Caenorhabditis elegans: one gene and its partners. The protein of the gene in region 1 interacts with the protein of each later gene in a pairwise test. Each region holds a gene or a part of one and is shown in the gene's direction. Other genes may lie near its edges. The genes, in order: magu-3, fbxb-9, dyb-1 and F53G12.4.

Region 1 (6,324 bases):
AATTTTGGAAGTCGACCAAAAATTGTAGGAGTTAAAAATACAGCATTCTCGAAAATATTCAGAAATTCCGCTATTTTTTAAATTTGGCAAGTTACCAAAACTTTAGCTGAAAATTTGGAAGTTATTGAAAATTTTTGGAATATCATTTCTGGGTCATTAACGTGTGTGTGCCAGGGGTTTGCGGCAATTGCCGTTCGGCAAATCGGCAAATTGCCGGTTTACCGTTTCTTTAGATATTTTCATAGAATTAGCTAACTTTTCAAAATAGATGTAGGAATATTCATAGGATGCGTACAATTTTGCCGATTAAAATTGAAATTCTGAAATTTCCAAAAAAAAATGTGCAAAACCACAATTTGCCGAAAATTTTCGGCAATTACCGTTTTTACGCCAAATTCGGCAAATCTGCCAGCTTGTCGATTTGCTGGAAATTTCCCATTCCACCAATTTGCCGATTTGCCGACTTGCCAAAAAAAATTGTTTGCCGCCAACTTCTGGTGTGTATAGACTACTTCCCTCCTCAAAATATGTACATCTCCAATTTTAAACCAAATTGTCGGAGCCGGAAAATTCGAGAATCGGCAAATTTTTCGGCAATCATCTTGCCCTAGAAGGTCTCGCCACGCTCTTTCCACTGCTTGGCTTCTTACTCACTTCAGAAGTCAACACGAGCTCCGTACTCAACCCATGTTTCACAATGTAATATTCAATTCACTGTGCTCATTCCACTTGCATTCTGCTGCTAAATTAGCATTCTCCCCTTTTCTTTTCTTTTTCCTTTCTTGTTGTTGTTTCTTCAAACAATTTTCAAACCCACTGCTTCCCATCGATTCTCTCTTCAATTTCTCTGCGTCTTCAGGCATAAGTAGTCGTTGCTCAAAAGAGAGAGAGCTCATGAATTCGTTTCCCATGCTCTTCTTCTTGTCGTTGAAACATTCACATACACACACATGTTAATCTGATATCCCTTCTTACGACTTCTGGTTTTGGTTTCTTTTTCAATTATTTTTTGGAAAGGATATAGATATATGTTTGTATGCTTTTTATGGGGAAAAGTTTACCTAGATTTGTTTGCTTTTAATTTCATTTCCCAATTCTTTCTCTTTTAGGTTTTTTAAAAAATCGAAGCGGTCTAGGCATAAGAAATTTCTTGCCTAGACTTGGGTGATTCGTTTTGTTTTTATGGAAGAGTTTGCCTAGAATCGACAAGTTGCCAGAATTGAAATTTTTGATGAATTGCCGGTATTGAGAATTTCAACTCAAATCGGCAAAATTGTACGTATCCTAGGAATGCTCCTACATCTATTTTGAAAAGTAAGCAAATTCGAAAATATCTAAAGAAAACGGGCAAATTAATTTTAAAAAGGCACAGTTTTAAGTGTTTCCGTCTCTAAAAACTTCCAGCAAATTGATGTTCGGCAAATCGGCAATTCGGCGAATTGGCAAATTAAATTTTCCAGCAAATCGGCAAACCGGCAATTCGCCGATTTAAAAACTATTAGAGGTGCAAAACTAATAGAGGCGCCTTACTAATAGAGAATATACGGTATTCGATATTGCATCTAATGTTTAGCTCATCCCAAATTGCTATAAAAATCGCTGAAAGGCTCAAAAATATACCCCCGTCCCTTTATTGGCAATTTCGCTTAATTTACGTGTACCGTTACACTTTCCGAAAATTCCTACAAGTCCATTCAAAAAATCCAGATTCTTCCACCCTTTTGTAGTTTTTTTCAGATGGCCTAGAAAAAATAATGAATTTCAAATTTCTGCCGGCCACGAAACCTGTAACAATTTTTGTGTACTTTCTCCCAAACAACCATTCTAAAATGCTCTAAGCCTCGAATTGCGTAGTCGTTTCTCACTTCTTGTTTGCCCACGCAATTTCTGTATGCTTTTCGATTCTTCTCCCCCTCCCGTTACCACCTTGTTCTTCTTCCATGTTTCCTGGTTGTTCACTTGTCACTTTTTTTCTCCCGGTATTCAACAAAAAGCACATTTTAAGATCGAAAGATGAGCGAAGAAGATGAGTTGTCTCAGCTGAGATCGAACGCCGAAAACTTGTCCAGATGTCTTCATGTTTTATTGGAAAAAATCGAGAATATCGAGAAGAAGAATGGAAAGGAGCAGGATGCGGATAGCACAAAGGTGAGTTTTGAAAAAATATTTTAAACTTGTAGGAACCATAAGCTTGACAAATTTTTCATATTAAGTATTGCCAGCGTTCAAAAATCCCAATGTTTGCAATTTACCAAAATTTTGGAAAATCTAAAATTCTTTACAATGAGGTGGAGTGGCGGCTATAAAAATATTTTGAAATAGCCCATAATGCTGAATTTGTTTCAAATATAATAGTAAAACTTTCAAAAAAAATTGAAATTTTTTTGAATAAAGTGGCAAACTATATGGAAATCGGCCAGAAAAAACTGTTTTTTGCTTAATGTTAGCAACACGCCAACATTCTGAAAATTCTGAAAGTTTTAAAATTTAATTTTTTAATTTTTCAGAGCAACGGCACCTCTTCCTCAAACAAAGACGGGAAGGAAAAGTTCGAGCAAGTGGAGATTGAGGAGAAAACTGAAATCGATCCGAAAACCGGGCTGAAAAAAAGAACAATCGTAACTGAAAGAGTTCTGACAACGAAGACATTTCATGCTCTCGCACTTGATGGACCATCTCCAACCATGACACCAATTCTAAGATCATCTGGAACCAAAAATCATAATTATGCACCAATTCATCAATCAGCAATTCTTCTTCCACAGTATCAATCAAGAAAGACTACTGTAGATGCTGGGCAACTGACACAAGTAAGTATATTTAAATTAAAAATTATAAAAATTATAATATCATTTAAAGTGGAATATAGTTAGTGGTGGTAAATGTACATATAAAATAGTTTAAAAAATTGTCCAAATATCATAGATAAACTTATCGAAAAGTTTGAAATTTATCACCGTATACCTAACTTTGAAACTCTTGGTTTATTTTAAAAATATCAATCAATATATTATAAACTACGAAATGATAGAAAAAGATCTAACAATTATTTGTTAGTTGCCAATTTTTAAATAGGTCGAACGATAACTGAGATATAAAATGTCAAAGTTGAACAATGGGGTGCAATACTAATAAACGAAATACGGTATATTGTACAGCCATAATTTTGAAAGTCGATTCTTCAAAATTATTTCATATTAATTTTCTTTGAAATATTTTTATTTAAACGATCTAGGGGTTTTTCATAAAGCTCAATATCGACTGAAAAAAAATTTAATAATTTTTGAAGCGTTTAATTTAAAAAAAAAGAAAGTATTTATACAAAATTACCGACCATTCGCTTTTAAACAATTAGGACTATAAATACAAGAGGTTCTAAAAAACACATTTTCAAAATAAAATTTTTCCAATTTTTATTCAATTTTCAAATTATCTGAACGTTTTAGGTTGAAGTTGAGAAACACGGAGGCCAGTTGGTAGTAACAAAAATCAATGAAAAGTCCAATTATGATCTGAAGCCTGGTGATGTTATTACCCAAGTCGATGGAAAAGATGTCTACTTTAGAGCAGATATCGAGAATTTGAAAGGAAAAGTTGAACTGACAGTGGAACCCGCTGGGATTCATTGTGCGCCTGCGGTGAATATTTTTTAATTTATTCTGAACCTTGCATGTCGGACTTCTGCCAATTTTGGATTCCCATCAATAATTTCCAACTAAATTTCAGAACTTCCACCGCGTCCAAGACACATATAGCTCTCACATCGACGTGGACCGCCCGTGTCTTTGGCTGGATCTAGAAGTGAATCCAGGTGATGTAATACAAATTTTGAGTAAAGATGAAAAATGGATGCAAGTGAGAAAACTTGGTGATTTGACACAAGTTGGATATCTTCCAACTTCACTGACAATGGAGAAAGTGTCAATGCTCTGTCCATTCGGAAGAAGAACTCTTGTATTGCTAGGAGCAGTTGGAACAGGAAGAAGGGATATTAAGTCGATGCTTTTGAGGCTGGCTCCACATTATTTTTCAACAATTGTTCCATGTAAGTTCTGAGATTTGGAGAAATCCTCAAAAAATTGCAATTTTAGTCAAATTTAAAATTTTTTAAATTTGGACAAAAATTCGAATTCAAAATTTAGAAAAATATAATATTTAACATTGAAAATGAGTGTGAGGATCAAATGAGTATTGAAGAAAGTTCTAAAAAAAGCGAGTTATTAGTGCGATAATTATTAAAGGCGCACATCCTTATGCGCGCTCTTCATCTGAAAGTGTTTCAGTTCTGTCGAGACCTGGTATAAATTTAATTCAAAAAATGCTCCGAAGGAACGAACAAGTAATTAAATTTCTGTCAACTTCTGGGGTAAAAATAGCTTCCAAAAATATCGTCAATTGGATATTTTCCTATAAATTTGTGTTCCAAATTAATAGCTTAAATTTCTTAAAATTCTGAGATTATGCTAGAACGTTTCCTCATTTTCCCTAAAATCTCGCACTTTCCTTTCTCTACTGCCCGTATTTCAAATTTTTGAAATCTATTTATAATCAAAAATGTCAGCGAATGAACAATACTGGTAAATCCCCTAAACTTACAGTAACCTCACGAGCCCAACGACCTGGAGAAGTGGAGGGACGTGAATATCAATTTGTCCGAAAAGAAGAAATTTACCAAAAGATTCGTGAAGGTGGAATGGTTGAGTGGGGGGAATTGGATAGTCAACTCTATGGAACATCGGCAGACTCCGTTAGAAATGAAATCCGAAGTGGACGAATGTGTGTATTGGATGCTGCTCCTCAGGTTGGTTTTTATAATAATGACGGATTTCAAGTAATAGGAACAATTTCAGAGTGTAAATTATTTATATAACGCTGAATTCATGCCATTCGTGGTTCATGTCGTGCCCCCACCAATTGAAGAGTTTACACAACTTGAGGCGGTTCGAAGGACTCACAGGTAAGCAAATTCGGTATGAACTATTCCATATTTTGATTTTCAAAAAGGAAAACTGAACAACATTCAAAAATTGAGAAAAAAACAATGTTTCGGCGATAAAAAAAATTCAAAAATTGGGAAATCCTGACTTTCCTAGAAATTTGAAAAAAAAATTTTTAGGGAAAATTTTATTTGATTTTTGCAAAGTTTATCGAGAAATTTAAATTTTTTTTCAAATTATGGCGGGAAAGTCAACATTTTATTGTCAATTTCCGTCGGTATATTGAAAAATTAATTTTTCAGAAAAATAAAAAATATTTCAAACTAATCTTTTTGCCGAATATCTTCCGAAAATATATGTTTTTTTTTCAAAATGTGTTTCCCGGTAAATTCAAATTTTAGATTTTTTTAATGGAATTTTCAGTGTTTTACTAATTTTTCTTTGAAAAAACATTTGGCGCAAAATTCAAATTTCTAACAAAAAATTTCCAGGACTCAAGGCCAACTCCAATCAATTTGTGACGAAAGTGCAAAGATAGGATTGGAATGTAAATCAAAGATTCATCTAACACTTGTTAATAGGAATATTGATGTTACATTCAAACGGTAGGTCTTTACTATGACGTCACTTCTCTTCCACTGTCGTATCTTTTCCAGATTGGTTGACTCGTTGGAAACTCTTCGCTACGAGACCCAATGGGTTCCACATAGTTGGATGTGCTAGATGTCTGTCTGCAAAAATATAATATGAATCACTGCCAATTCTCGTTTTATTCTCTTCCTCTTTCTCTCATATCCCCCAACTAGTCGATCTCCCCCGCCTTTTTTCTTTTCCGTACCAAATAAAGCTATCTATTTTTCATTTATTTGAACACCTTACGCTCATTTCCGAGCTCTTTTTGCTGCCATTTCAACATTTATCGGCTCACAACATATCCAGCAAATCATGAGACTTTCCGTTTTATTCTGCTGCGCACTTTTTGCAACAATTTTTGCAGACGATGTAGGTTTTTAGAATTAGATTTATGTCAAGGTATGAAACAACTTTCAGAAAGATTCCAGCTCTTCAGAAAATTTACTTTCTGACAAATCCTCTAACATCACAAGTGCCGATGCATCAGATGGAAAACTTCAAATTGAAGAGCAATTCGATGGAAATGATAACTCAACAGTAACATCGAATGGAACTAAAAGCCCTTCTTCAGTTGGATCATCTCTTCCAACAAGCTCATCTGGTCCTGAAATCAAGACAACGACTCCTAAATCTGGAAAACCAAGGGCTCCATCTTTCACTGCTTGGTCATTTTTCAGTGGGTGTTTTATCCTACTATTCAAGTTTTAACATACTTCGAAAACATGTTGTGACATTTTTGGAAGGACTGGTTTTT
Region 2 (3,749 bases), on another chromosome or scaffold:
ATTTCACGTGACCTTTTCTTATCAAAAGAAAACTTCCAAAAGGGGGAATTCGAAAAATAAATCAATAATAATTCTCCGACAAATTACTAAAAGGTATGTAAGGGCAGACTTTTCTTTTAGCCTAAACAGTTGTGTTAACCAAATGTTAATGTAATGGCTTGAAATTTGTATCTAATTCAATTCACATTTACAGTAACTCAAATAAAATGGGCGACTTGATCCAGCTAAGTGTCGGTACAAAAGTAAAAAAGTGGCAAATTGATAAGAAACTCGGAGAGGGTGCATTTGGTGCAGTCTACAAGTGTTCCAACCCGAAAGGAGACCTTTTTGCACTTAAAGTCGAGGGAAAAGACGAGAAAATTCAGTTGTTGAAAATGGAAGTCTACGTGTTGAATGAGTTGAAGAAGGCCGGAGGACGTCATTTCTGTAATATCGAGGATAAGGGACAAGTCGATAATTTCAATTATGTCGTGATGACATTTGTTGGGTTGTCACTTGCCGATTTGAGAGCCATTTCACCAACTAAGAAATTCTCGTAAGTTTTCTTTCAGAGAAACGGTTTTACAGAGATCTGGCAAAACGGAAGTTATTGTTCCCGTTGGATCTCCCAGAATTCAATCACCAAATTGCCTTTCCAGAATGGGAACCGCTATCTCCATTGCCCGTCAATCGCTGGAGGCACTCGAGGACATGCACAACATTGGATATCTCCATCGTGACGTCAAACCTGGCAACTACACAATCGGACGTGCCGAGGTCAATGAGCTTCGCAAAGTTTATGTGCTGGATTTCGGTATGGCTCGTAAATTTGCTCACGAGGATGGAACTATCAAGAAGCCCCGTAACGTCGCCGGGTTCCGTGGGACTGTCAAGTATGCGCCTGTCAGTTGTCATGCTGGACGTGAACTCTGTCGTCAGGATGATTGCGAAACGTGGCTTTACATGGTGGTGAGTGTGTATTCGGATCAAAATATTATCTGCTTTTCAACTAGATTTGAATTCGCGCTTAAAGTCACTTGCGCGATAATTCAAACTCTGCCATTTTAAGGAAGGCAGAAAGCTTATCAGAAATTGAAATTGATCCGAAATCTAACATTTTAAATGTTAAATTTCCAGGTTGAGCTCACTAAAGGGTCCCTGCCATGGCGTAATATGACAGAAATCCAGGATGTTGGAAATGAGAAGCGTGCTATTCGCCGTGATCCCATCGTCAAGAAGAAGATGTTCGGAGGGTAAGAGACAGATTTTCTAAAAAACTATTTTTGAAGTGTTGAAAAAACTTTCATCACCCGTCTCTGTTTCAAAACCTATCTTATTTCAGCTGTCCACGTGAGTACCTTGACATTCTCGAAGCGATCGATAAGGGACAATTCTTTGATGAGCCGAACTATGAACGGATCTACTATCTTTTGAGAGAGGCAATGAAGAATACGGGATCCACTGAATATCCGTATGATTGGGAGCAATCTCTTATGAAGAAAACGAAGGAAGAACAGGAAAAGAAGAAGAAAGGAGTTGTAGATCAAACAGAAAAGGTTATCAAGAAAAAAGAAGTTGAGTTGGCAGAGGGAAAATCTCATAAGGAGACTAAGGAGGTTACCAAAGTCAGTAAGGAAATTGTTGAGGAAAAGAAGGAAGAGAAGAAAGAGGAGAAAAAGGAAGAGAAAAAGGAAAAGTATGAAGACGATAAGAAGGAGGAGTTGTATTGATTGACTTTCGAGAAAAATAAATTATTTTTGAATGTTTCATGTGATATCTAGTTTTTTATCCTACGCGTACGTGATTATTTTGAATATTGGAGTTTCTCATTAGTAACATTGCTTTTTGTTCGAAGCATTCAGGATGAGGTCACCTGGGTTTCCTGCCATGCTCAGTTACTACAACATTGACATCTGTTGCAACTATTCAGTTAACTATCGATCTATATTCTTTTGCAGTCATTCATTTTTGCCTAACACAACTATAATGGCTGCCGTTTCTGAATTTCGTCTTCTTCAATTGCCTGAAAGAGCTCAACGAATTTCACTCTCGCACATGAGTTATAATTCAATGTAAGTTTATTTTGTTAACAAACAACCAGTTTAGTCATTTTCTTTTTCAGATTCTCACTCTCCCTGTGCTCCACAAAAAAAAACAAAAGACCTCGTTCGAAATTTCAATATAAAGTTCTATCGATTTTCTTTAGAAATATTTGGCGACATTGCTCTGATTATTAGCTGCGAAAACAGTCAAATCGATTTTAGTCTAATTCATTGAGCAGTAAAAAAACGTTACACCAGGATGATGTGCTACGAAAAACGTTAGATTTTTTGCAAATAGAGTGGAGAGTTTTGTATGGAAACGACCAAACTTGACATTTAGAAATTGGATAGATCACTTTCTCAATATTCTAAATATTTCAACTTTGAATGTTATAATGGCAAAGAGAAATGTTCATGTTGATTTTGAAGATCTTAATAGTTGTTTAGAAGGAGTACCTATACGAACGCTCACCTATGAAGGTATTGAAATAACTTCAGATAGAATTAATCGAAAGCATCCCGTTAGTGATACATTTTTATCAAAAGCGGGGTTTCTTGATTTTTATAATTGCACGTATAAAAGCTCACAGTTCATTCACAAGTTTCTCATTCATAATACTACGACGGTATTCACTCGTGGAGTGCCGCGATATAACCTGAATGATTTGCTGGTGTCTAATGGCCAAAAAATTTACGTTCAAGTCGGTAGAGGCATCATTTTTTTGGAAAAAGATGTCAATAAATTTTTAAAGCATTGGATACGTGGGTCCAATAGAGAACTTAAATCATTGGCATTCAGAGCTCCGATGAATATGGAAATAGAACATGCTATAGAAACAATATTAAAAGGAATATGTTACAAGGATGCACGAGAAGAAGATGCAGCTTCTATTAAACTGGTTCACATCTGCAATGGAAATACCTTTAAACATCCAATAATCAAAATAAGTGGTTTTCGTATTAAACGATTCGATGGAACAAATGCAACAGTTGTAATCAGATTATTAAATGCAAATAGTGTATGTTGTAATGTTGATATGTTTGTTTCCTAGATTCTTGTTTTAATGCACTCTCATTAATTGTACTTTTTATGAACACATATTTATACTCACTTTCCCTCTGACTCTGTCCCCTCCGAGGCACTGTCCCTTTGACCGCTATTTTTTGCTGCTTACCTTTCTTTGTTTCCTTTCTTTTCACTCATGGGACGAAATAAATAATAATCTTAAACGGAAGAGTGCTGGAGCATTCAGATACATTATTTTGAGTATTCGTCTCGAGGGCTGTGTAATTGATTTTAATCTGTACATGCTGAATAGTTGTGAGAAAATTACACCAGGACTATGTGCACCGGAAAAGGTTCGACGTTTTACAAATGATGTGGTAAATTTTGAATTAAAGCAACCAAACTTGAAATTTAAACATTGGATAGATCACTTTCTTAATATTCCCAATATTTAAACTTTAGATTTTGCAATGGGAAGGAAAAATGTTAATGTTGATTTTTGAAAATCAGGTTTTTTCGTTTGAAACATTTAGGATGAGGTCACCTGGGATTCCTATCATGCTCATTGTCAGTCACTACAACATTGCCATCTGTTGCAACCATTTAGTCAGATATCGATCTATATTCTCTTGCAGTCACTTCATATGTCTTGCATTTTCTGCATAACACATCTATAATGGCTGCCGTTTCTCCATTTCGTCTTCTTCAATTGCCTCAAAGAG
Region 3 (7,772 bases), 2.4 Mb from region 1:
CCCACCCCTGATCTACACGAATTTTAAACAAAAAAAAACATTCCGCATAAAACCGCCTCCTTTTAAAATTGTGAAAGTGGAGAAACAAACACACGTTAAGCCAAAATTTCTTTCATTTCGTGGCCTAGAAAATCCAAAAACTTAGGCCACTAATTTTCTCTTCCTCATCCACTTCGTAATATCCCTGTGTATAATGCGTATACTTTTACACCTCATTGAGTTGAGACGGATGGGGTGAGGGGTCCCAATGTTTCAGTGGGGGCCCCCTATCTCTTTTTCTCTGCACTCTCTCTCTCTCTCTCTCTCTCTCTCTCTCTCTCTCTCTCCATCTTTCTCCGTATGCTCACATTCATCCCACCGCTGCTCTCTGAGCCAATACGTCTCCCCCCCCCCCCTCCTCTCCTTTTGCACATCGATCCGTCTTGTGTCTCTCTTTCTCTAATACTCTCTATTTCTCTAAGTCTCTCTCTCTCACTCACGTTTGCCTAAATTCACTTTCTCCAGTGTTCCCTTGAGTGCTCCGAGAGCAAAAGCGTATACCACGAATTAATTTTTAATTCGTGTATTTTTGGCTCGATTTTCCCTTTTTTTTCAACATTTTTCTAAAAATTATTGCTGCAATCGCGCTTTAATGGCAATATTACCTGAAAATTCGTATGTTGTTGCAATGCAATCGCGCTCTATTGGACAAATTTTTAATCCGAATTTTGAAGTTTTCTTTAGTGGAAATCTCTATTGAAATTTTTTTATAAATTGTTTATACAAACACGCTCTAATGATAAAAAGGCTTTAAATTGTGTACTCCGCGTGGAAAAAAGCAAGTTTTTTGTTGTATTTTTTGAAAATATTTTTTTTAAAGAACTTTTTTTGAATACTCTGTGTAGTTCTCGTGGACAAGTTTGGGCCTATTTCGCTTAAAAACCTGAAACACGCGAAATTCCAGTTTCGGGGGATTTCAACTACCCGATTAGAAAAAAAACTTTTTTCACAAATTCAATTTCTGCCGAATCAAAATTCTCCGGAATTCAAGTTTCCGCGAATTTCAACCTAAAAAAATTTTAGCTCAAAAACCGTAAGGTAGTTGAAATCCACGGAAACGAAAATTCCGGCGAATCAAGTTTCCGTGGATTTCAACGCTTATTGAACAAATTTCTACAAAACGCCCCCGGGAGTTCAAATCCGCGGAATCGAAATTCCCTGGGATTTTGATTTACCGGGATTCAAGTGGTGTCAATGGGAGAGGAAATGCATTTTCTCTTACGCGCGTGGTGTCAGAGTGTCTCATTTCGGTTTGATCTACGTAGATCTACAAAAAATGAGGGAAAAGAAGAGACGCAGAGTTCTCAACTGATTTCTCATTCCCGCATTTTTTGTAGATCAAGCCGTAATGGGACAACCTGATACCACGTGACCGTTATTATTTTTCTCTCAATCCTGAGATTTAAAATCCCGCGGAGTCGAAATTCCCCAAAAATATTTTTTGTACTCCTCGTGGACAACCTCGTTGGTTCCCTGAAACATATTGGCTTAGTAATGTGCCAAGCAAATCAGCGCGCATACATGCAAAACCCATTAGGCTCCCCCCAAATGTCTTCTCTCCCAGAGTTAGACTCCGCCCACTAGGAGCCAGAGCTCCCCCAATTTTCTTTGTTTTAAACCCTACCACTTTTTAGCTCTGGCCAGCCATTTTGTGGGTGGAGTTTTGGTTTAAATTTTTTTAAAATTGATTTAAAATTTAAATTTTAAATTTCAGACACTCTGGGTTTTTCTCCTGAAATGTTGTGGTCAAATGGTGGAGGAGGACCACGTGAGCCGAGCAGTGCACCATCACCAGACCATCATCGTGCAATGCATTCTGTACCACCAATTGTGGCATCTGAAATGCAACAATTGATTGATGAAATGCGTGGGTGTTCAATTTTGCGGGAAAATTGGCTAAAAAACGCTAAAAAATTCCCGCGTTTTTGATTCTCCGGAATTTTAACTTCTATGGGATTATTTTTCGGTGGATTCGAATTTTCGGAAATTTTCAATAAATCTTTTTTCATTAGAGATTTTCAAAGAAAAAGTAGAAAAAATACCTAACTATGTAAAAAAAATTAACGGAAAATCTCCACGTTTCTAAGTCTTCGGAATTTAGATTTCCCTGGAATTAAGTACTCGGTGGATTTGAATTTACGGGATTTTTTTTCTTTAAAATTTTTTTCAAATTTATGTTCAAGTTAGCACAGCAAAAAAATTTTTTTTTTAATTCACGTTTTTGAATCTACGGAATCCAATTTCCCTGGAATTTCGCTTCCGCGTATTTGGATTTCTGAGTTTTTAAATATAAATTTTTGCAGAAAATGTGAAAATTACGTGGAAACTCAAAATTCGCCGAAAAAGGACAAAAAATCTCGAGTTTCCAATTTAGCGGAATAAAAATTCCCGGGAATTTTGTTTCCGTGGATATTAACTACCCAAATTTTTTACCATTTTTCTCAATTCCAATTTCAATTTTTTCATGGAAAAATTGGTTAAAAAACGCAAAAAATTCCCGCGTTTTTGATTCTCCGGAATTTTATTTTCTCTGGGATTTTTTTTCGGTGGATTTGAATTTTCGGAAATTTTCAAAGAAAAAGTAGAAAAAATACCTTATTATGTAAAAAATTAACGGAAAAATTTCCACGTTTCTAAGTCGTCGGAATTTAGAGTTCCCTGGAATTAAGTACTCTGTGGATTTGAATTTACTGGATTTTTTAAAACAAAATTTATACGAAATGCTCAAAGTTGATACACTCTCCAAAATGTTCATGAAATTTACAAGTTAACACAACAAAAAATGTCAAAAAACTCCGCGTTTTCAAATCCCCCATTATCGAAATTTCACGGGAATCCAGATTCCAGGGAATTTGGCATTCGGGGAATAAAATTTTCGGATTTTTTTCTATGAAAATTAGTCAGGGTCTGGATAAAATAACAAACGAGTGGAAGCAAAAATTTCGCCGCAAAAAGAACAAAAAACTCGAGTTTCCAATTCCGCGGCATAAAAATCCCGTGAATTTTGTTTCCGCGGATATCAACTACCCGACTTTTTTAAAAACATTTTTTCTCAATGCTCAATGTTGTCGAAAAAACACGGAAATACCTTCAAAAAAAATCCAAAAAAAAAACCCTAAAAATTCCGGTATCCAATTCTACAGAATCGAAAATTCCCTAAGAATTTTGTGGATATCAACTACCCGAGTTTTTTTTTGAAAATTCATGAATTTTTCCGCTACTCCTCTTGAGAAAGGGAAGCTTATAAATAATTCTTCTTTGCGAAAAAGTGCAAAAAAATTATTGGCTTTCATTGGTTAATGCCCAAAGTTCAGAAAAAAAGTTGAATCATCAATAGAGCGCATTTTCAGGTCTCCAAGATTTCGACTCCATCAGATTTGCCACGTATCGAGCCGCCTGTAAACTGCGATTTATTCAACAAAAGACGAAAGTTCATTTGGTAGATATTTGGAATATGATTGAAGCTTTTCGAGAAAACGGACTCAATGCATTACCCCTACATACTGTGGTATGTTGCAAGTGTGCTCTATTGAGAATGTGGGGGAAATTTTCAGATCAAAACGTCACGCGCCGAGCTTCTGCTAACTACAGTATTCCACAATTTGAATAAAAGACTTGTAGCGTCACAACATGTGGACACGGATGTATCGATTTCTTTGCTACTCGCGTTTTTGTTAGGTGCTTATGATAAGTGAGTTTTGGACTCCTCTCGGACAAAAAACTCACGCTTCTGAATCCCCGGAACCCAGATTCCCCAGGAATTTAGATTCGGCAAATTCGAAATTCTAAGAATTTTTTCTTGTGTTACTGCGTGAAAACTGTGTATTTAGAATTCCAATTTTTACTGCAAAAAATAACGAAAAATATTCGGGTTTTCGTGTCTCCAGAATCTAGATTCCCTAAGAATTTTGATTCCGCGTATTGGAATCTACGGGATTCAATCTACACATGTTCTGTAAATAACAGAAATTTTGGTAATATATGAAAAAATTTAAAATCCTAAAACTGAAAGAAAATTTCCGGTTTTCGGATCCGCGGAATTTCACATTCCACCGGAATTTGGTTCCCACAGATTTCAACTATCCGAAATTTTTTCTGTTTTTTTTTGTTTTCAGCATAATGTTTTGATTTTTCAAAAATGAAAATTGACTGAAAGAGCAGAAAAAATCTCAGGGTTTCATATCTCTGGAATTAAAATTTCCCAGTGAATTTTTATTCATATAAGGACACTTTGCAAAAAAATTTTTTTTTGATAAAGTCACGGATTTCTGGCTTCCCTCATAAATTGAAATGGAAGAGTTTTTGCCGAACTAGGCCAGTAGATTTACGGCGCGTTGCGTGTCGCGTCGCGGCTCGATTTTAGTTGTAAAACTAAATGTATTTGTCCGTGTGGAGTACACGACTTTCCCGTCCGGCAGGCGATTATCAATGGAGCGCGAAAAATTCAATGAGGAAGGCCAAAACCCCGTGCGCAGTTAGGCTGTAATTCTCACAACGACACTCCGATATTCCGCTACCTAGAAGTGACGTCACACGCTTCAAAAGCCAATTTTTCAGACAAAATACCGGACGTTTGACGGTTTTTTCAATAAAAGTCGCGTTGGCAACACTCTGCGCTGGAAAATTGGTGGACAAGCTGAGATGTGAGTTGCGCTTGCGAATTTCAAAAAAAAATCTGAAATTTCAGACATTTTCTCTCAAATCGCTGATTCGAATGGATTAATGGATCATATTAAATTTACTGATTTTTTGCAACAAATCCTCTCCCTAACCACTGCAGTTTTCGAAGCACCGACGTTTGGATTTTCCGAAAACGCGGTTAATCAGTGCTTTCATAAGGATGAGAAAGTATCTTTGAATGTGTTTCTGGACACTTTTTTGAGGTAGATATCAATTTTGGAAATAAATAAAAAAATAGATTTTAGAAAAAGTTTTGAAAAAGTTTTGAAAAAATTAACCTTTTACACAAAACTACGTTAGCATGTGGTGCCAGGTTGTCCAATTACGGTTTGATCTACAAAAAATGCGGGAATTTTTTCGCCCAAAAAATGTGACGTCAGCACGTTCTTAATCATGTGAAATCAGTTGAGAACTCTACGTCTCTTCTCCCGCATTTTTTGTAGATCTACGTAGATCACGCCGAAATGAGACACTCTGACACCACGCGCGAAAGAGAAAATGCATTTCCTCTCCCATCGGGGGGAAAACCAGTCCCTCAACTCACCCAGAATAATAATTTAGGTGTCTTGGAAGTTCTGAAACACCTAACATTTTGAAAAATTAGAAAAAATAATAGACGTAGGGCTGAAGTCCTCCCGCGGCCACGTAAGGCATCCCCGTGGCCTAGGATTTTCAGAGCGGTGTAACTTTTGAAAAACTGTAAAAATTTTTTTTTAATTCTGCAATAATTGTATCTATAACTTATTCAATGAAACCAAATCAAAAAATCGAATTTTTCTTTTCATGGGGTCACGGGTCCCCACGCCGCCACCGAAGTCCTCGCCGTGGCCTAGAAACTTTCAAACAGTGCATCCCTAAAGCCACTGCGCCGATTTTCTTGAAACTTTATCAGAACACTTTATATAACAATTTCTATCAAATTATCAAATAAAATCGAATTTTAGTTGTCATGGGGTCACGGGTCCCCCCCCCCCCCCCACGGGGTGACCGAAGTTCTCACCGTGGCCTAGAATCTTCAAAATGGTGTAACTCTATAGCCACTGCGTTAATTTTCTTGAAAATTTATCAACCAACACTTTGAAACCTGTTCTGTCAAATTATCAAAAAATCATACAAAATTAATATTCCAGCGATCCATGTCCCCCATGCATAATGTGGCTCCCCTTGCTACATCGAATGGCGTCTGTGAGCAACGTGTACCATCCGGTGGTGTGTGATGCGTGTCAAGTCAGAAGTTTCACAGGATTTCGGTATAAATGTCAGCGATGCGCCAATTATCAGTTGTGTCAAAGCTGTTTTTGGCGGGGAAGGACGAGTCAAAATCATTCAAATGAGCACGAGATGAAAGAATATTCCAGCTATGTGAGTTTTTTGAAAAATCGATTTTCCACGTGGAGTACACGAAAATGTATCTATAAAGCGCGCGATAAAATTATTGATTTTCCGCCGGCGATGAAGAATCGATAAAATTATTGATTTTCCGCCGGCAATCAAAAAAATCGATAAAGTTATCGATTTTCATTCGACAAAAACGATTAGTTAACAGAGAAATTATCAATTGCTGGACAACAAACAATCAATAAAAATGTAGATTTTCCGCCGGCAATCAAAAATCGATGAAATTATTGATTTTCCGCCGGGCAAAAAAAAAATCGATAAAATTATGGAAAAAAGCGTTCTCAACTCCAAAATCAATAAATCAATAACTTAGTAATTTCAGAAATCGCCGACAAAACAGCTCGTACACTCAATTCACAAAAGTCTCCAATGTATTCCTGCCACGTCAACCGTCGGCGATGCAAACATCGATATTTTTAACGCAAAAATCGGTGGCCCGGTCAGCAGCAAACCTGCTCGACCGCTAAACCTGAACAACATCGTCCCGGCGACACCGACGACGATCCGCCGGCAACACGCTGCCACGTCATCAGCGGACTGGCCGACGTCACCGGTACTTCTGCCGGGACAGGCGTCGCATGGAGGAGTTATTGATGATGAGCATAAGCTTATTGCGAGATATGCAGCAAAGTTGTCGGGAAGGGCTGATGTGAGTTTTTAATCGAAAAAAATCAGGAAAAAATCAATAAAAATCTTGATTTCCCGCCGGCAATAAAAATCGATAAAAATCTTGATTTTCCGCCGGCAATAAAAAAAATCGATAAACATCTTGATTTTCCGACGGCAAACAAAAAAAATCAATAAAATTATTGATTTTCCGCCGGCGATAAAATTCGATTAAATTATTGATTTTCCGCCGGCAATCAAAAAAATCGATAAAATTATTGATTTTCCGCCGGCGGCAGAAAGTCAAATTATTGATTTAATAAAATTTGATCGATTATCGATTTTTCTTTTTAAAAATCAATAAATTGCAGTATCCCCTATCAAACGGTCGAAGTATGAATAGTTCAATGGTCGGAGACGAACGGACCCTTATTGCTCAACTGGAAGAAGAAAATTCAATGATGGTACGGGAAATGGCTCGACTGGAGAGCCAAACAACTTCCGATGACGGGCTCGCCGGGCTCCGCGACCGGAAAATGGAATTGGAAGAGAAAATGTTTGAAATGCAACAGAGGAGGAGAGAATTAATGATGCAATTGGAGCATTTAATGGCTCAGTTGAATGTAGGTCATACCTACTGTGGCTAACGCGCTCTATAGATAAACAATGTAAAAATCGATAATTTTGCAGAATTCAAAAACAATCGTTATATTTTCCTCCAAATTTAGAAAAAATACTTGATAATTTTCAAAAAATTCGAAAAATCGATAATTTTTATATTTTAAGAAAACAAAGTTTTTGGAGTTTTTGATTTTCCGCCGGAGATAAAATCGATAAAATTATTGATTTTCCGCCGGCGATAAAAACCGATAAAATGTGTAAACCTGTCGATTTTTTAAGCTTCAGTAAAAATCAAAAATTCAATATCGGCTTTTCTGAAAAATTCAACCTTCAAAAAATCAATAAAATTAAATTATCGATTTTTTGATTTCAAAACAACAAAAACCTTTTCCAGACGGGACCCCAACCATCAGGAGGTGTATCATCTG
Region 4 (5,404 bases), 3.8 Mb from region 1:
CTCCGCAGTTTCCCATCGATGCGTAGTTCGTTGACTCCGGAATCTCTTTCCGGTACTGGACTGTCTTCTCGTCCATCGTTGGGAGGAGGACAATCGGCGAAACAAGATCTGCCAACCTACGACTACTGGGGAACCAACAACTCGCTTAATGATATTATGGAGAACGGTAAGCTTTTTTTGCGAATTTTAATAAGAATTTTAAATGACAAATAAGGATTTTTCAGAAATTCTCAGCCGCAAGTACGATGCCCTGTCCGCATGGTCGTCGATGGGATTGGAGAAACGCGAGGAATCCCCAACCAATGGGTATATATTTTTGAAGGAATTTTATAAATTTTTGAAATAAAACTAAAAATTGCAATTTTCCTTCAAAGTTCTAAATTTTTGAAAGAAAATTTGATTTTCCGCTAAAAAATTTAAAAAAAAAACAAGTTTTCGTGTTTTCCACTCGGAACCTGACGGCTTCTTATCAATTTTTTAAATAAAAAATAACGTTTCTAAAACTCAGAATGTTTAAAAAATTTCACATTAAAAAATTATTTTTCCGAAATCTTGAACCTATCCGTTTTTGAAAATAAAAAAGAGTAAAATCGTAGTTTTCTCTATAAAAATTATAATTTTCATTTGAAATTCAAAAATTTTTAAATAAAATTGGATTTTGTCCGTCAGAAATCTATAAAAAGAAAATTTTTTTTGAACAATAAAAGAAAAATTGTAATTTTCTTTTGAACTTCAAAAAAATATGTTTTTTTTCACATGCAAAAAATTGATTTTTTCAAAACCTCGTTTTTGAGAGAAAAAGGTGAAATTCCAATTTTAAGAGGTAAAGTTAAATTTATTTATTTTATGAGAAAAACTTGAAATTTAAAGGAAAATTACTGAAATTTACAATTTATCATACATATTTTTTAATTTCGACATATCTCGAAATATCAAGTCGTAAATTTTTTCCACAAAAGTGTGATATTCTCTTTAAAAACTAGAAAATTTCAATTGTAAATTTATGAAAAATCAAATTTTTTGCAGGCTCATGTCCTCCCTCAAAGGAACATCCGCCGGCTTCGGTCTTCTCAGCACAATCTGGTCTGGCGGAAACATGAATCTGAGCCCAGGATCGTTGGCTTCAGCATCTGCCTCGCCGACTTCATCGACCTGCGATCACAACGATCATACTCTCGTGCCGATCAATGGATAAGCTGTGGATCCATTCATCATTCCATTACTATCGTGTAGACTCTCATCTAGCAAAAACCCATCCTCAACGAGTTCCAAATTCATCTTTCCATTCTTTAAAAGACTCTTTTTCCCATTTTCTACTTTGTTCATCGGTGTACGAGTCCCTCCATTCCCATTTTCTCACCTCTTTACTACATTACTAGAACACACAAAAATCACCATCATTCTCACCCCAAAATCCTAGACAAAAAAAACGAAAAAAATCACATATATTTATATATAACTATTATTATTTGTTATTCATATTTTTGAAATATCTATATTATATATATTTATATATGTAACCCATGCAGTCCCCCAATATATATTCCTACAGTAGGTTTTTTTGGAAAATCTGTAACTTTCTCTATTATTCTTTTTTGCATTATGATAGGACGACCAACTCATGTTTTAAACAAAAATTATATATATTATAAGGATTTCCTCTTTTCTCTCTATCTCTCACCTAGTGTTTAACTCCCAATTTTCCCCCTCTCTACTACGCACAACTAACGGAGAATTGAGAGGCCTTTTATATTTATAGCACCTCTTTATAATTAAAAACTCGAGTGATCCCCACCTCACCCATCAAATTTATCGTATTTTGTAAAAGTTCTGATATATTCCACAGATTTTGGTGTATGTGAATGAAGCGATTCGTGTCGTCTCTCCATATTCTGGTATCCATAGCAACTCCCCGAGCTTTTGGCTCACTCGCGCACGCCCTATACTATACCTTTACTATTATTAAATGCACTCAACAAATCCTATCCTGCGTCAATTGGCCGATCAATTGTCCGAATTGCCACAATATGCACCATTGCGGGTAATAATAGCACAATAGTTGAATATATTAATAATTCAAAAATATTTATTATATTTTGAGGTGTCCCATTGTTTCAGACATATATCCGCGCGACGATAAGTGCCACGTTGGGGGAAACGCCAAAGAAAACGAGTAGGGATTTGACGTATAGAGGTGAAATTTTTAGAAAATTTGAAATTTTCTGAAAAAAAAAGGATTTTTCTTTTATGAAAAATGCTCTTTTCGCCAAAAAAATCACAATTTTCGACTTAAAAACTTCAAAATTTTTTCAGGAACACACAATTCAAAATACAAAATATCTCGTAGCAAAAACTACAGTAATTCTTTAAATGACTACTGTAGAGCTTGTGTCGATTTACGGGCTCAATTTTAAAATTAGATAAAAATGAGAAAATAAAGACACGAAGAAACGAATGAAAGTGTAATATCGAAAATATTCGAAAATAAATAAATTTCAAAAATCGAGTCCGTAAATCGACACAAGAGCTACAGTAGTCATTTAAAGAATTACTGTAGTTTTCGTTACAAGATATTTTGCGCGTCAAATATATTGTGCAATATGCATTTTCAGAATTTTGTGTTTCCGTAATAGGTAAAATGTCAGAAAATCAAGGATTCAGTGCAACCCCGCGTTCTACGGGTATTTTGGCCACGGCCACTTTTTGCAAAACTGCAAAATAGGCGTTGTTATTTCATTTTCTGAAAAAAACATTGAAAATTATTATCGAGAAAGTACGATCTGACAAATTTCTCATAATTTATTTTTGATCTACCTGTTGAACTTTACTCCGCCCCCAATCTTGTTGCCGTTGTTATTTTGTTGTAGCTGTCTTGTCGAAGGACGGGGAGGAGCCTAGTCAACAAGGTAGATAAAAAATATATTATGAGAAATTTGTGCGATCGTATTTTTTCGATTATATATATATATATATCTTCATGTAATTCTCATGAAATCTTGAAAAAAAACGCGACACATGGTATTACCACGCCCACTTTTTATAATTTGAGCGCGTGCAATTTTTTGTCGATAACATAGTTTCTATTTAAACAAAAAACATCGTGCGCCCACATTGAAGAAAATCCTATAATTGGGCGTGGCCTTAACTCTGAAAATTTACAGAACGTGTCACCCATAGCATGATTGCCGATTGGCTCGAGCAGAATGGATATCCAATATCATCTCAAGTCTTGAAAACAGAAATGTCTGGAAACTACATGGAGAGTGCAGAAAAACACGTGGAAAATGGGGAAAAAATCGATAATCTATTGCGAAGTCAGCTGAAAATCGATATTCGCGATGGCACCGGTGACGATTTTGAACGAAAATCGATAAAATCGATTGGCGCCGGCCGCCCGTTTGCAAAAATTAATATGGTCGATAAACAGCGAGCACCGTTGAAAATTACACCGCTTAGTGATGAGGAATTTCGAAAAACGATGCGGAAACGGATGGAAATGGAGAGGGAACGAGTGAGTTGCGTTAAATAATTTTTTTTTGAAATATTTAACAAAAGTCGACAAGGCGATTTTTTAAAATCGATGTTTCGCGACTTTTATTCAAAAGAAAAATTTCAATGCCCTAAATCACTCAAATGATGATTAAAAAAGTATTTGCGCGCGCGCGTAAAATTTAGTGCCAGCGTATGACACTATGTGGTGCAAACTTCACTCCGGGTCCGACACTTTTTGGATTTTGCGCATCGCTATAAAGATTTCAGATCGCGGCGTGAGAGCGGCGTTTGCGGCGCCGACATGAGAGTCCTACTTTCCTACTTTTCTTGGCAAAAAAATCGATCGATTTTTCAGCTCGCACGTCTATCCAACCAGGCAGAAGACGATTCCGACGATTCATCGTCCTCCTCCGACTCTTCCACGTCATCCGCGTCGTCATCTTCCGAGGAGAAGTTGACTTTTTCGGATATCTTGGGGAAACCCACAGCAGCTGGCGCGGAGAAAATGATCGAACTAAGCCAAATTCCCAACGCATGGGGTCCGTCAAAATCCGCGTTAGTCACTGATGACGTGGCAAGCACTTCTGACCCACTTCCGGCGATTTTCAACGCACATCTTCCGCCGCTCTCCATGGGACGACCACCGCTGACAAAAAGCGCGAAAAGTCGGGAAATCGACGCCATTTTCGGCTCGGATAACGTGGATTATGATTTAGAGGATTTCGAGCAGGATGGCGTGGCGAAGAAAAAGTCTATACTGCCTATGGAGAAAAAGAAGGAGGAAGCGAAACCAAAGGAACAGGAGCTAGTGGAGCCGTTGGTCTTGTCAGAAGGTAACTTTGAACTTGCACCATGCAAAAATTTCGAAAAATTATGCACGTGGTCACTGGCTGTCCTTTTGCATAAGCTTGAAGCAAACGCGCCTCATTGAGAATTCACGTTTGCGCCAACTCTCGCTATCCATTGGGCGTGAGAGACGCAGATACTACTTTTTTCTCTGAACGTGAAAAACGCAAAGAATAACCGTTTTGCCGTCTGCATCTCTTCTTTCACACGCTATTTTGGCTGTGGACGAGGAATTCTCCTCTTCCAGGATTTTCTAGGCCATTTTCTCATATTTCTCAAGTTTTCTCGTCCGCGAGAAAACGTGAATTTTGAGACAGCCAGCGAGCACGTGATTATGCAACTCTCCTAAAAATCGATCATTGTTCCTGTAGCTTATAATTTTAAAGGCGCATATTCCGCTTGCGGAGCAAAAGTAAAAAAAAAACATGCCTCTACATACAAATCGATGAATTTCCTGAAAAATCAATAATAAAAAATTTTCAGGAGAATCAATCGACGAGCTTGAAGATTTCGACACCGGTCTACTATCTTCCGGAGGATCCGATTATTCTTTTTAAAATTTTCTTCTTTTAAAAAATTTCTTTTGAAATAAATAAATTCTCACCTAGGAATTTCAACAATTCAACTTGAAAAAAGTTCGCGCAAACTACGAACAAATGTGTGTCGAGCGGGCGGAGCCACTGAGAAAGAGGAGCAAAATGTACACAAAACCATATTTGAGTGTAATTTTTCAAAGTTTGGCGCCGATTTTCTGTGAGAGATGAGTTTTCTCAATTTATATTTGGTTATTTTTATTTTAGTTCTTACTGGTAAATTTCTGGGTAAGTCCTGATGACTTTGAAAACGAAAAAAACTCTTTCATTGATGCTAGTGCGATTGCTAGGAAAGCAACTTTTCAGTTACCAAGAAAAAGTCCAAGGCCATAGGGATTAGCTGCGTGGCATAACAACTCATCCATCCTCGCAGATGCAAATCCGCTCTATTGGCAAATAACATGGAAGAGTATAAACATTTTCTCTTCCACACGGAAACCTAGTCCCCTTGGGGAGCGGTAGTGCCCACAACC

What was found.
Region 2: the proteins of magu-3 (region 1) and fbxb-9 interact in a two-hybrid assay, tested with the Caenorhabditis elegans proteins (one large-scale study listed by BioGRID).
Region 3: the proteins of magu-3 (region 1) and dyb-1 interact in a two-hybrid assay, tested with the Caenorhabditis elegans proteins (one large-scale study listed by BioGRID).
Region 4: the proteins of magu-3 (region 1) and F53G12.4 interact in a two-hybrid assay, tested with the Caenorhabditis elegans proteins (one large-scale study listed by BioGRID).

Annotation. Positions count from the first base shown.
Region 1 is NC_003279.8:3,900,890-3,907,213, reverse strand, and holds magu-3 (Guanylate kinase-like domain-containing protein), read left to right. Parts: upstream 1-2,005; 5' UTR 2,006-2,013; coding exon 2,014-2,148; intron 2,149-2,507; coding exon 2,508-2,810; intron 2,811-3,446; coding exon 3,447-3,638; intron 3,639-3,726; coding exon 3,727-4,045; intron 4,046-4,598; coding exon 4,599-4,801; intron 4,802-4,850; coding exon 4,851-4,957; intron 4,958-5,428; coding exon 5,429-5,542; exon of another isoform or gene 5,543-5,593; coding exon 5,594-5,660; 3' UTR 5,661-5,793; downstream 5,794-6,324. Other genes in the region: C50F2.7 (Sialomucin core protein 24), read left to right, coding at 5,883-5,939, 5,988-6,246.
Region 2 is NC_003282.8:11,160,746-11,164,494, reverse strand, and holds fbxb-9 (F-box domain-containing protein), read left to right. Parts: upstream 1-1,943; 5' UTR 1,944-1,965; coding exon 1,966-2,051; intron 2,052-2,101; coding exon 2,102-2,216; 3' UTR 2,217-3,242; downstream 3,243-3,749. Other genes in the region: C08F8.6 (non-specific serine/threonine protein kinase), read left to right, coding at 207-535, 639-948, 1,117-1,232, 1,322-1,709; C08F8.15 (F-box domain-containing protein), read left to right, coding at 3,704-3,749.
Region 3 is NC_003279.8:1,481,330-1,489,101, forward strand, and holds the start of dyb-1 (Dystrobrevin-1), read left to right. Parts: upstream 1-1,753; 5' UTR 1,754-1,776; coding exon 1,777-1,906; intron 1,907-3,389; coding exon 3,390-3,547; intron 3,548-3,593; coding exon 3,594-3,730; intron 3,731-4,524; exon of another isoform or gene 4,525-4,596; coding exon 4,597-4,682; intron 4,683-4,726; coding exon 4,727-4,922; intron 4,923-5,849; coding exon 5,850-6,081; intron 6,082-6,277; exon of another isoform or gene 6,278-6,298; intron 6,299-6,439; coding exon 6,440-6,766; intron 6,767-7,094; coding exon 7,095-7,346; intron 7,347-7,738; coding exon 7,739-7,772. UniProt on the Caenorhabditis elegans protein: Plays a role in cholinergic transmission and as a functional partner of dystrophin (dys-1), necessary for muscle maintenance. Required for localization of ctn-1 near dense bodies in muscle cells.
Region 4 is NC_003279.8:132,388-137,791, forward strand, and holds F53G12.4 (LisH domain-containing protein), read left to right. Parts: upstream 1-1,949; 5' UTR 1,950-1,966; coding exon 1,967-2,041; intron 2,042-2,118; coding exon 2,119-2,194; intron 2,195-3,161; coding exon 3,162-3,511; intron 3,512-3,847; coding exon 3,848-4,325; intron 4,326-4,821; coding exon 4,822-4,895; downstream 4,896-5,404. Other genes in the region: mex-3 (K Homology domain-containing protein), read left to right, coding at 1-166, 225-306, 1,027-1,195.